2 linked regions of the Alligator mississippiensis genome follow. The protein of the gene in region 1 interacts with the protein of each later gene in a biochemical or structural test. Links are inferred from orthologs where the notes say so. Each region holds a gene or a part of one and is shown in the gene's direction. Other genes may lie near its edges.

Region 1 (3,742 bases):
GGAACAGTGGGGGCAGGCGGGGGAGCCCCAGGGCCCAGCCGGGAGGGGCACTGGCACCAGCATGGGGGAAGCCCCGGCACTCGGACTCTTGCCAGAGCCTACCACCCCTCCCCCCACTTTTTCTGCTGGTGAGGAGTGGGGTCTCGCCCTCTCCGTGCAGCCAGGACTCACTGCCCCCGTTTACCCTCCCTGCTGTGCCTTTGTCCCCCCCCAGGGGCTCTCGGTTCATGGACATGGCCCAGTATACCCTCCACCCCATTTTTATTTTTTCTGTATTTAAGTTTATCCCTTATCCCTGCTCTCTGGCAGGGGCTGGGCCTGTGGTCCTCATAGCTGCCCCACACAACCCCCTTGGGTCTCTCTGGTGTGGCCCCTGTGAAACGCAAGCTGCCCCAGGGGGTTGGCAGAGCCCAGTGGGGGCCCCCAGTTCCAGGAACGGGCTGTACTGTGATGATGACCCCCCACCCCCAGGTTGGCCTAAAGGGCCCTTTGTGTTCCCTAACACTGCGTGGCCTCTCAAGTTTGAACTGAATTCCTCTCTCCATCCCCCCAGCCTACGCCACGGCCCCTACCCTCTGGCCTGGTCATGGTGGCTGCCCTCTCCCCCCGGCCCCCTGCCCTTTTGGGCATCCACATTCCTTGGGGGGTGCTGCCCCTTTCTGGCTGGATGAGAGCAGCCCACTGGGGGCAGGGGGCGGCAGTGAGGGATTGTGCCCTGCTCCCTTCTGGGCACACCCCCTTCCTGGCACGGTGAGGCCGGAGCCGGGGAGCTGCGCCCAATGGGACATACATTAAAGCTTTACTGTAACCCCAGCCTGCCGCCTGCCCTTCTCTGCTCCAGGCTGGGCTGGGGGTGGGACTGTGGCCCTTGGGGGAGGGTTTCCTGGGGCCAGATTGGTCTGAACCCTCCCCCTAGAGCTGGGCCAAGGCCATGGGGGCTGGTGTCAGAGGGGCAGGCAGAGGCAGGCCTGGGGTGGGGGAGAGCAGTGGTGCTGGGTGGGGGCAGCTCTTGGTGCCCATGGGGTGAGAGCCTGTCCTGTCTCCCCTGAGGAGGGGCTGGACCCAGGGTGGATGCACAACAAGAAGGGGCTGGTCTCTGCACGAAAGGGGACCGCCCCATTCGCTTGGCCCTGGGGCCGGGTTCATCCCGCGGAGGGACTCGAACCTGCCACCCTGAGAGAGGTGGGTGCAGTCCCTCCTCCCGCCCAGAGGCGGCGCTACCAGCGGGAATGAGCATGCGCGGGGGAGGCGAAGCCGCTTGGAACATGCGCGGCGCCGCGAAGGGTGGCACACCGCCTTCCGGCCCGGCTGCGCATGCGCGGCGTCTCCCGCTGGTGGGGTCAGCCTACGCGCTCTCGTTGCGCTTGCGCGGTGAGCCCCGTCTGGGCGCGCATGCGCCGTGGGGGTCCGCCTGAGCCCTTTGCGCATGCGCTGTGGCGACGCTGGGCGAGGAGCGGCGGGTCGGTTGCCCGGCTCCCCGGGACCGGGCCCGGCGGCGGCGCGAGGAGGCCCCGCGATGGCGGAGGACGGGAAGGGCAGCTACAACGGTGAGGGGGCGCCCGCCGGGGGTGGGGCTTAGGGGTTGGGGTCTAGGGGCGGGGCTACAGGAAGTGGGGCTGGGGAGTGGGGGTCCGGGGGCGGGGCTGGCGAGTTGGGGCCAGAGGAAGTGGGGCTGTGGGCGTGGCTTAGGGAGTGGGCGGGTCTTTGACTTAGGGGTCGGGTCGAGACAGGACTTAGGGGGCTCCTGGGGGCGGAGTTTAGGGATTGGGTGTCTGGGGCGGAGTTTGGGGGTTAGGAGGCGGGGCTTGTGGAGCTCCTGGACGTGAAGTTTATGGGGGTGGGGGCGGGGCTCAGGGGAGGGCCTGGGAGAACATGCCTGGGCTGACCCCCCCCCCGCCTCCCCCCCACCCCGTCTCCCCCGTGCAGAGCACGACGACCGCGTGGGCGGCGGGCCAGGCCGGCGGAGGAAAGGCCGAGGCCCCTTCCGCGGCAAGATGTACAGCGACCCGAACCACCGGCCGCGCAACCGGGGCGGCGCCGGCCACGGCCCCGGCCCCAGCCCCCGCGGCCGCCTGGACGAGGAAGACGGCGACGTGCCCATGAGCGACGTCCACGACGGGCCCCGCTGCAGATAGTGAGCACGGGGCTTCCCCGCTCTGGCTCCCGTTGCCTCGTCCGCGCTGGGGGTGGCAGGAGGGCGACGAACGCGACGTGGAAGCTGCCCTCGTAGGGGGAGGGAGACGGGGGGGGGGGGGGGGAGCTGCAGTGCTGGGAGGCATCCGGGGCGGATGCAACTGTCCCCAGGCTCAGCAGATCCCACGAGGGGCCTGCACTCGCCTGCTGAGGACCCCTCGTCCCTTGGTCCCCAGCACCCCTTACGGGTCGCGGCCAAACCGGCGAGGTGACGATTGGCATGATAGGGGCCGGGGCGGCGCCAGCAACATCCATGTCACAGCGAGGCGCGACCAGCCCGTCCCAGATCGCGGCGGCAATGCCGGGCGCGACGGCACCCGGAAGAACTGGTTCAAGATCACGGTGAGCGATCGTGGGGGCGGGGGCAAGGTCTCCCCGCCAGCCTGGGCACGCCCTGGCCGGGAGCTCCCAGTCGGTTGCGGGGCAGCCCAGGTCCCTCTGCCGGCTCTGACGCTCGCCAGCGGGCGACTTTCCTTGGCAGATCCCGTACGGGAGGAAGTACGACCGGTCGTGGCTGCTGACCGCTATCCAGAATGTGTGCACCGTCCCTTTCAACCCCGTGGAGGTGAGTGCCAGCTCGGAGCCCACAGGCAGAGAGGCTTGGGAGCCGGATGCTTGGACTGTCTCCCAGCATCAGGGGGAGAGCGGGGTCTCGGGAGGGGTCAGAGCAGAGTGGGACCGGGGGGGGCCTGCGCTCTCTACCTGGTGGTGGCAGGGGCTCAGAGCAGCGCGTTTAGGAGCCGGGATGACTGACTTCTCTCCCAGCTCTCGGGCGGGTGCCTGCCGGGTCACTGTCTCAGGCCAGACAGTTGGGGGGTTTTTTTCCAGGCTTTGAATTTCCTAGACACTGCCCTTGCTGCGGGGAGGAAGGGCCTGGGGGATTCTCCTTGCCCAGTTCTTGGGAGGGCGGCGCTCAGGTCTCCCTGACCGCCTTGTTTCTCTCCCCTTTTCAGTTCCATTACGACCACAACCGGGCTCAGTTCTACGTAGAAGACGCCACTGCGGCCAGCGCTCTCAAACTGGTGTCCCGCAAGATCACGGACAGAGAGAACTACAAGGTGTGGGGTCAGGTCCCTCAGCTGGGCCTCATCATTGCCTTCCGAGGGGGGAGGGAGGCTCCTGTGCTGCTCTGGGGGTCTCTCTCCCAGCTGGAGCAGCCTTGGGGTGCTGCTGAGACCCCCGTCGACCTGCTTTGCCCACGCTCCAGGTGGTGATAATCATCAACTCGTCGGCCCCGCCCCAGTCTGTCCAGAACGAGTTGAAGCCAGAGGAGATTGAACATCTGAAGGTAAGGCCCTAGGGCTCAGTGCCTGGCGTTTGGGGGCGACTTCCAGCCATTAATCAGTGCCAGGTAGAGAAGGGGAACTGTACCCCCCCCAGCCCCCACCCTCTGATCTGCATTTTCTGCTATTTCAGCTTTGCATGAGCAAGAGGTATGACCGTCTCCAGCAGGCCCTGGACCTCAAGGACCTCCGCACAGACTCTGGTGCGTGTCCAGATAGGGTGGGGGGAGGGAGGGAGGGGAAGGGCGGGGGTGGCGGCTGGACAG
Region 2 (3,742 bases), on another chromosome or scaffold:
TGGTGCGGCAGGTTTTGTTCATTGGTTTATGAAATGTCAGGTTGAACATAGAGCCGTTGGGTTGGAAGAGGTTTCAGAGGTTGTCTAGTCTAGGGCAGGGGGCAAGTGGTGCGGGCAGCCTCTGTGTGGGGCACGTGGGAGACTGGACTGGGACAGGCGGCACACTGGTGGAAAGCAGAAAGCAGAGCAGAAGTTGGAGCAGTAGAAGAGATGGCAGGGAGCAGACAGCAGAGCAGAGGCTGGAGCAGAAGAGATGGCAGGGAGCAGACAGCAGAGCAGAGGCTGGAGCTGTAGAAGAGATGGCAGGGAGCAGACAGCAGAGCAGAGGCTGGAGCTGTAGAAGAGAGGGCAGGGAGCAGACAGCAGAGCAGAGGCTGGAGCTGTAGAAGAGATGGCAGGGAGCAGACAGCAGAGCAGAGGCTGGAGCTGTAGAAGAGAGGGCAGGGAGCAGACAGCAGAGCAGAGGCTGGAGCTGTAGAAGAGAGGGCAGGGAGCAGACAGCAGAGCAGAGGCTGGAGCTGTAGAAGAGAGGGCAGGGAGCAGACAGCAGAGTGGAATGCATGAGGACCCCCAGGGCAGAGAGCAAAAAGCAGAGCCAGTGTCTTGGGCAGTGAAGTAGGGAAAGGAGCAGAAAGTCGAGTGGCAAATCAGCAGGGAGGGGAATACGGCGCAGGGAGCGGAAAGCAGAGCTGAAGACCAGAGGCAGGATACCGTGATGGGAACAGAAAGCGGAGCAGCAAGCGAGAGCCCCCTACTTTGGAGCTGGCGTCCAAAAAGCACCGCCCCGCATCCTCCCTAAGCCAATTACTTAAACTCTCGGCGTGACTGACACCCTCCCCCGCCCATCAGAAGGCTCCTCACCTCCATCCAATCAGATCGATAAGGAGATTTTCATCAACCAATGAGGGCGAAGGGCCAGGGTCCGGCGGCATCCCGCGCTTATCCCGGAGGGACGTGCGGCTCAGCCTATCACATTGGTAGGGCGGGACGGGAGAGCGGTAGGCCAATCACAACGAGAGGTAAGGTCACGGCCTGTCCCGCTGAACTGCTCCGACGGACACAAGCCCCATCCAGTCACAGAGAAGGGGCAAAGCGACTTTTGACCAATGAGAGGCAGGGGCGGGTTCCCGGCGCCCAGAGCAGGCCGGTTCGAAATGACGCGGATCCTCACCAATCAGAGACGCGAGGCCCCGCCGCTCTCCGCTCAATGAGAGCCGGAGGAGCGGGGTAGGACGGTCTCACCCCGAAACCGTTACGATTGACAGGCGGCTCGCCCAATCAGAACCCCGCAGCGGCCAATCAGAGCCTCCAAAGGGGGGACCTTCCCTCACAAGCCACCCGAGCACGAGACAGCGAAGAGAGGCAGCGCAGCCACCCAATCAACGAGCGGCCAGGGTGGGGCCTCCCGGACTGACAAGACCAGCGCCCAACGGCAGCAGCGGGGGAGGATAGAGTGGCCCAATGGCGGACAGGGGGGCGGGGACCATTTCCGCGGCGGGTTCCAAGATGGCGGCGCGTGCGTGAGCGCGGGTCCGTCCGTCAGGGAAGCCGTCCCGGAGGTGCTCGGCGCCATGAAGGGCAAGGAGCGCTCCCCGGCCAAGGCCAAGCGGTCCCGGGGCGGCGGCGGCGAGGACTCGGCGCCCTCCTCCTCGTCGGCGCGGGCCGAGCGCAGCAGCAAGAAGCCGAGCGGCTCCGGCGCGGGCGGCAGCAACGGCGGCGGCAAGGCGGCGGGCGGCTCGGGCGAGAGCGGCCGGCGGGGCCTGCACCCGGACAAGGCGGGCCGCGCCGGCAGCCGCGAGTACGAGGCGGGGGCGGCGCCCGGCGGCGGCGGCAGTAGCCGCCACGGCTACAGCGGCAAGAACGCCGAGTCGTCGCGGGGCAGCGGCGGCGGGAGCCGGGGCGGCGGTGGCGGCGGCGGGGGGGAGTCCCGGGCGGCGCCGCCCCCCTCGTCCTCCTCGTCCGAGTCGGGGGGCGGCGGCGGCGGCGAGTACAAGACGCTGAAGATCAGCGAGCTGGGCTCGGCGCTGAGCGACGAGGCGGTGGAGGACGGGCTCTTCCACGAGTTCAAGCGCTTCGGCGACGTGAGCGTCAAGATCAGCCGCCTCCCGCCCGGCACCGGCGCCGCCGACGAGCGCGTGGCCTTCGTCAACTTCCGCCGGCCCGAGGACGCCCGCGCCGCCAAGCACGCCCGCGGCCGCCTCGTGCTCTACAACCGCCCGCTCAAGATCGAGGCCGTGTACGTCGGCGGCGGGAGTGGCCGGCGCCGCGGCAGCCGCTCCCCCGCGCTGCTGGACAAGGAGTCCCCCTACGTGGCCGCGGTGGCGGGTGTGGCGGCTGCGGCTGCCGCTGTGCGGCACCCCGCGGCCGGCGCCACGCAGAGGGCCTTGTCGCCTGCTGGAGGGGGGGGCGGTTTGGGCTACAGAGACTACCGCCTGCAGCAGCTCGCCCTGGGCCGCCTGCCGCCGCCGCCCCCGCTGCCCCGCGAGCTGGAGCGGGAACGGGATTACGGGGCTTTCTATGACACCCGCGTGCGGCCAGCGTACGGGCTGGAGCGGGTGGCTGGCGTGGCGGCCGCCGGCGGCTTCCGAGGAGGAGGAGGGGGTGCCGGAGCGGCCGGCGAGGAGGAGATCAGCCCCGAGGACGACCAGCGAGCCAACCGCACGCTGTTCCTGGGCAACCTGGACATCACGGTGAGCGAGTCGGACCTGCGGCGCGCCTTCGACCGGTTTGGAGTCATCACGGAGGTGGACATCAAGAGGCCGGGCCGCGGCCAGACCAGCACCTACGGCTTCCTTAAGTTTGAGAACCTGGACATGGCTCACAGGGCCAAGCTCGCCATGTCGGGCAAAGTTCTTCTGCGCAACCCCATCAAAATCGGGTATGGCAAAGCCACCCCCACCACCCGGCTCTGGGTGGGGGGCCTGGGGCCCTGGGTGCCACTGGCTGCCTTGGCCAGGGAATTTGACCGTTTTGGTACCATCCGCACTATTGATTATCGGAAAGGTGATTCGTGGGCCTACATCCAGTATGAGAGCCTGGATGCGGCACAGGCTGCCTGCACCCACATGCGTGGTTTCCCTTTGGGTGGGCCCGACCGCCGCCTCCGAGTGGACTTTGCGGACACGGAGCATCGCTACCAGCAGCCATACCTGCAGCCGCTGCCCTTGCCCCCACCTGCCCACTATGAGCTAGTGGCAGAGGCAGCTGCATTTGGGGCTCATCGGGGAGCCCCACCTGACCCACTTCGGGGTGCCCGGGATAGGACACCACCGTTGCTGTACAGAGACCGGGACAGAGACCTTTATCCTGAGGCGGAGTGGGTGCCTCCGCCACCCCCTGTACGGGACAGGAGTAATCGAGCAGCTGCCTATGACCCTCTGGAAAGTCTGGAGCGTCGGCGGGATGGTTGGTCCCTGGAGAGAGACCGAGGGGAGAGGGAGTTGGGTAGCAGTAGCAGGGACCAACCCAGGAAACGGAGACTGGCTGAGGATGGAGGCCGGCACTTGGACCGCTCTCCAGACAGCGAGCGCTCGTCTTCGTCCCGTAAGCGACATTGCCTGGCTGCAGCCTCTCCCCCAGACCGCAGCCCTGATCCTGGTGTGACCCGGGAGCGTTACCTTAGTGATGCAGAGCGTTCCTCCCGTTTGCTCCTGCTGGAGCGGCCGTCACCAATTCGGGAGTCACGCAGGGGCAGCCTGGAGCGTGGCCAGAGTGAGAAGCGTGACCGCAAGAACTCTGCTGA

What was found.
Region 2: the proteins of NXF1 (region 1) and RBM15 form a complex in vitro, tested with the Homo sapiens proteins (2 studies listed by BioGRID). The link is inferred for Alligator mississippiensis from reciprocal best matches to the Homo sapiens genes NXF1 and RBM15.

Annotation. Positions count from the first base shown.
Region 1 is NC_081838.1:3,278,946-3,282,687, forward strand, and holds the start of NXF1 (nuclear RNA export factor 1), read left to right. Parts: upstream 1-1,416; 5' UTR 1,417-1,426; coding exon 1,427-1,547; intron 1,548-1,926; coding exon 1,927-2,134; intron 2,135-2,369; coding exon 2,370-2,535; intron 2,536-2,674; coding exon 2,675-2,758; intron 2,759-3,146; coding exon 3,147-3,251; intron 3,252-3,400; coding exon 3,401-3,481; intron 3,482-3,609; coding exon 3,610-3,679; intron 3,680-3,742.
Region 2 is NC_081837.1:34,891,728-34,895,469, forward strand, and holds the start of RBM15 (RNA-binding protein 15), read left to right. Parts: upstream 1-1,483; 5' UTR 1,484-1,571; coding exon 1,572-3,742. UniProt on the Homo sapiens protein: RNA-binding protein that acts as a key regulator of N6-methyladenosine (m6A) methylation of RNAs, thereby regulating different processes, such as hematopoietic cell homeostasis, alternative splicing of mRNAs and X chromosome inactivation mediated by Xist RNA.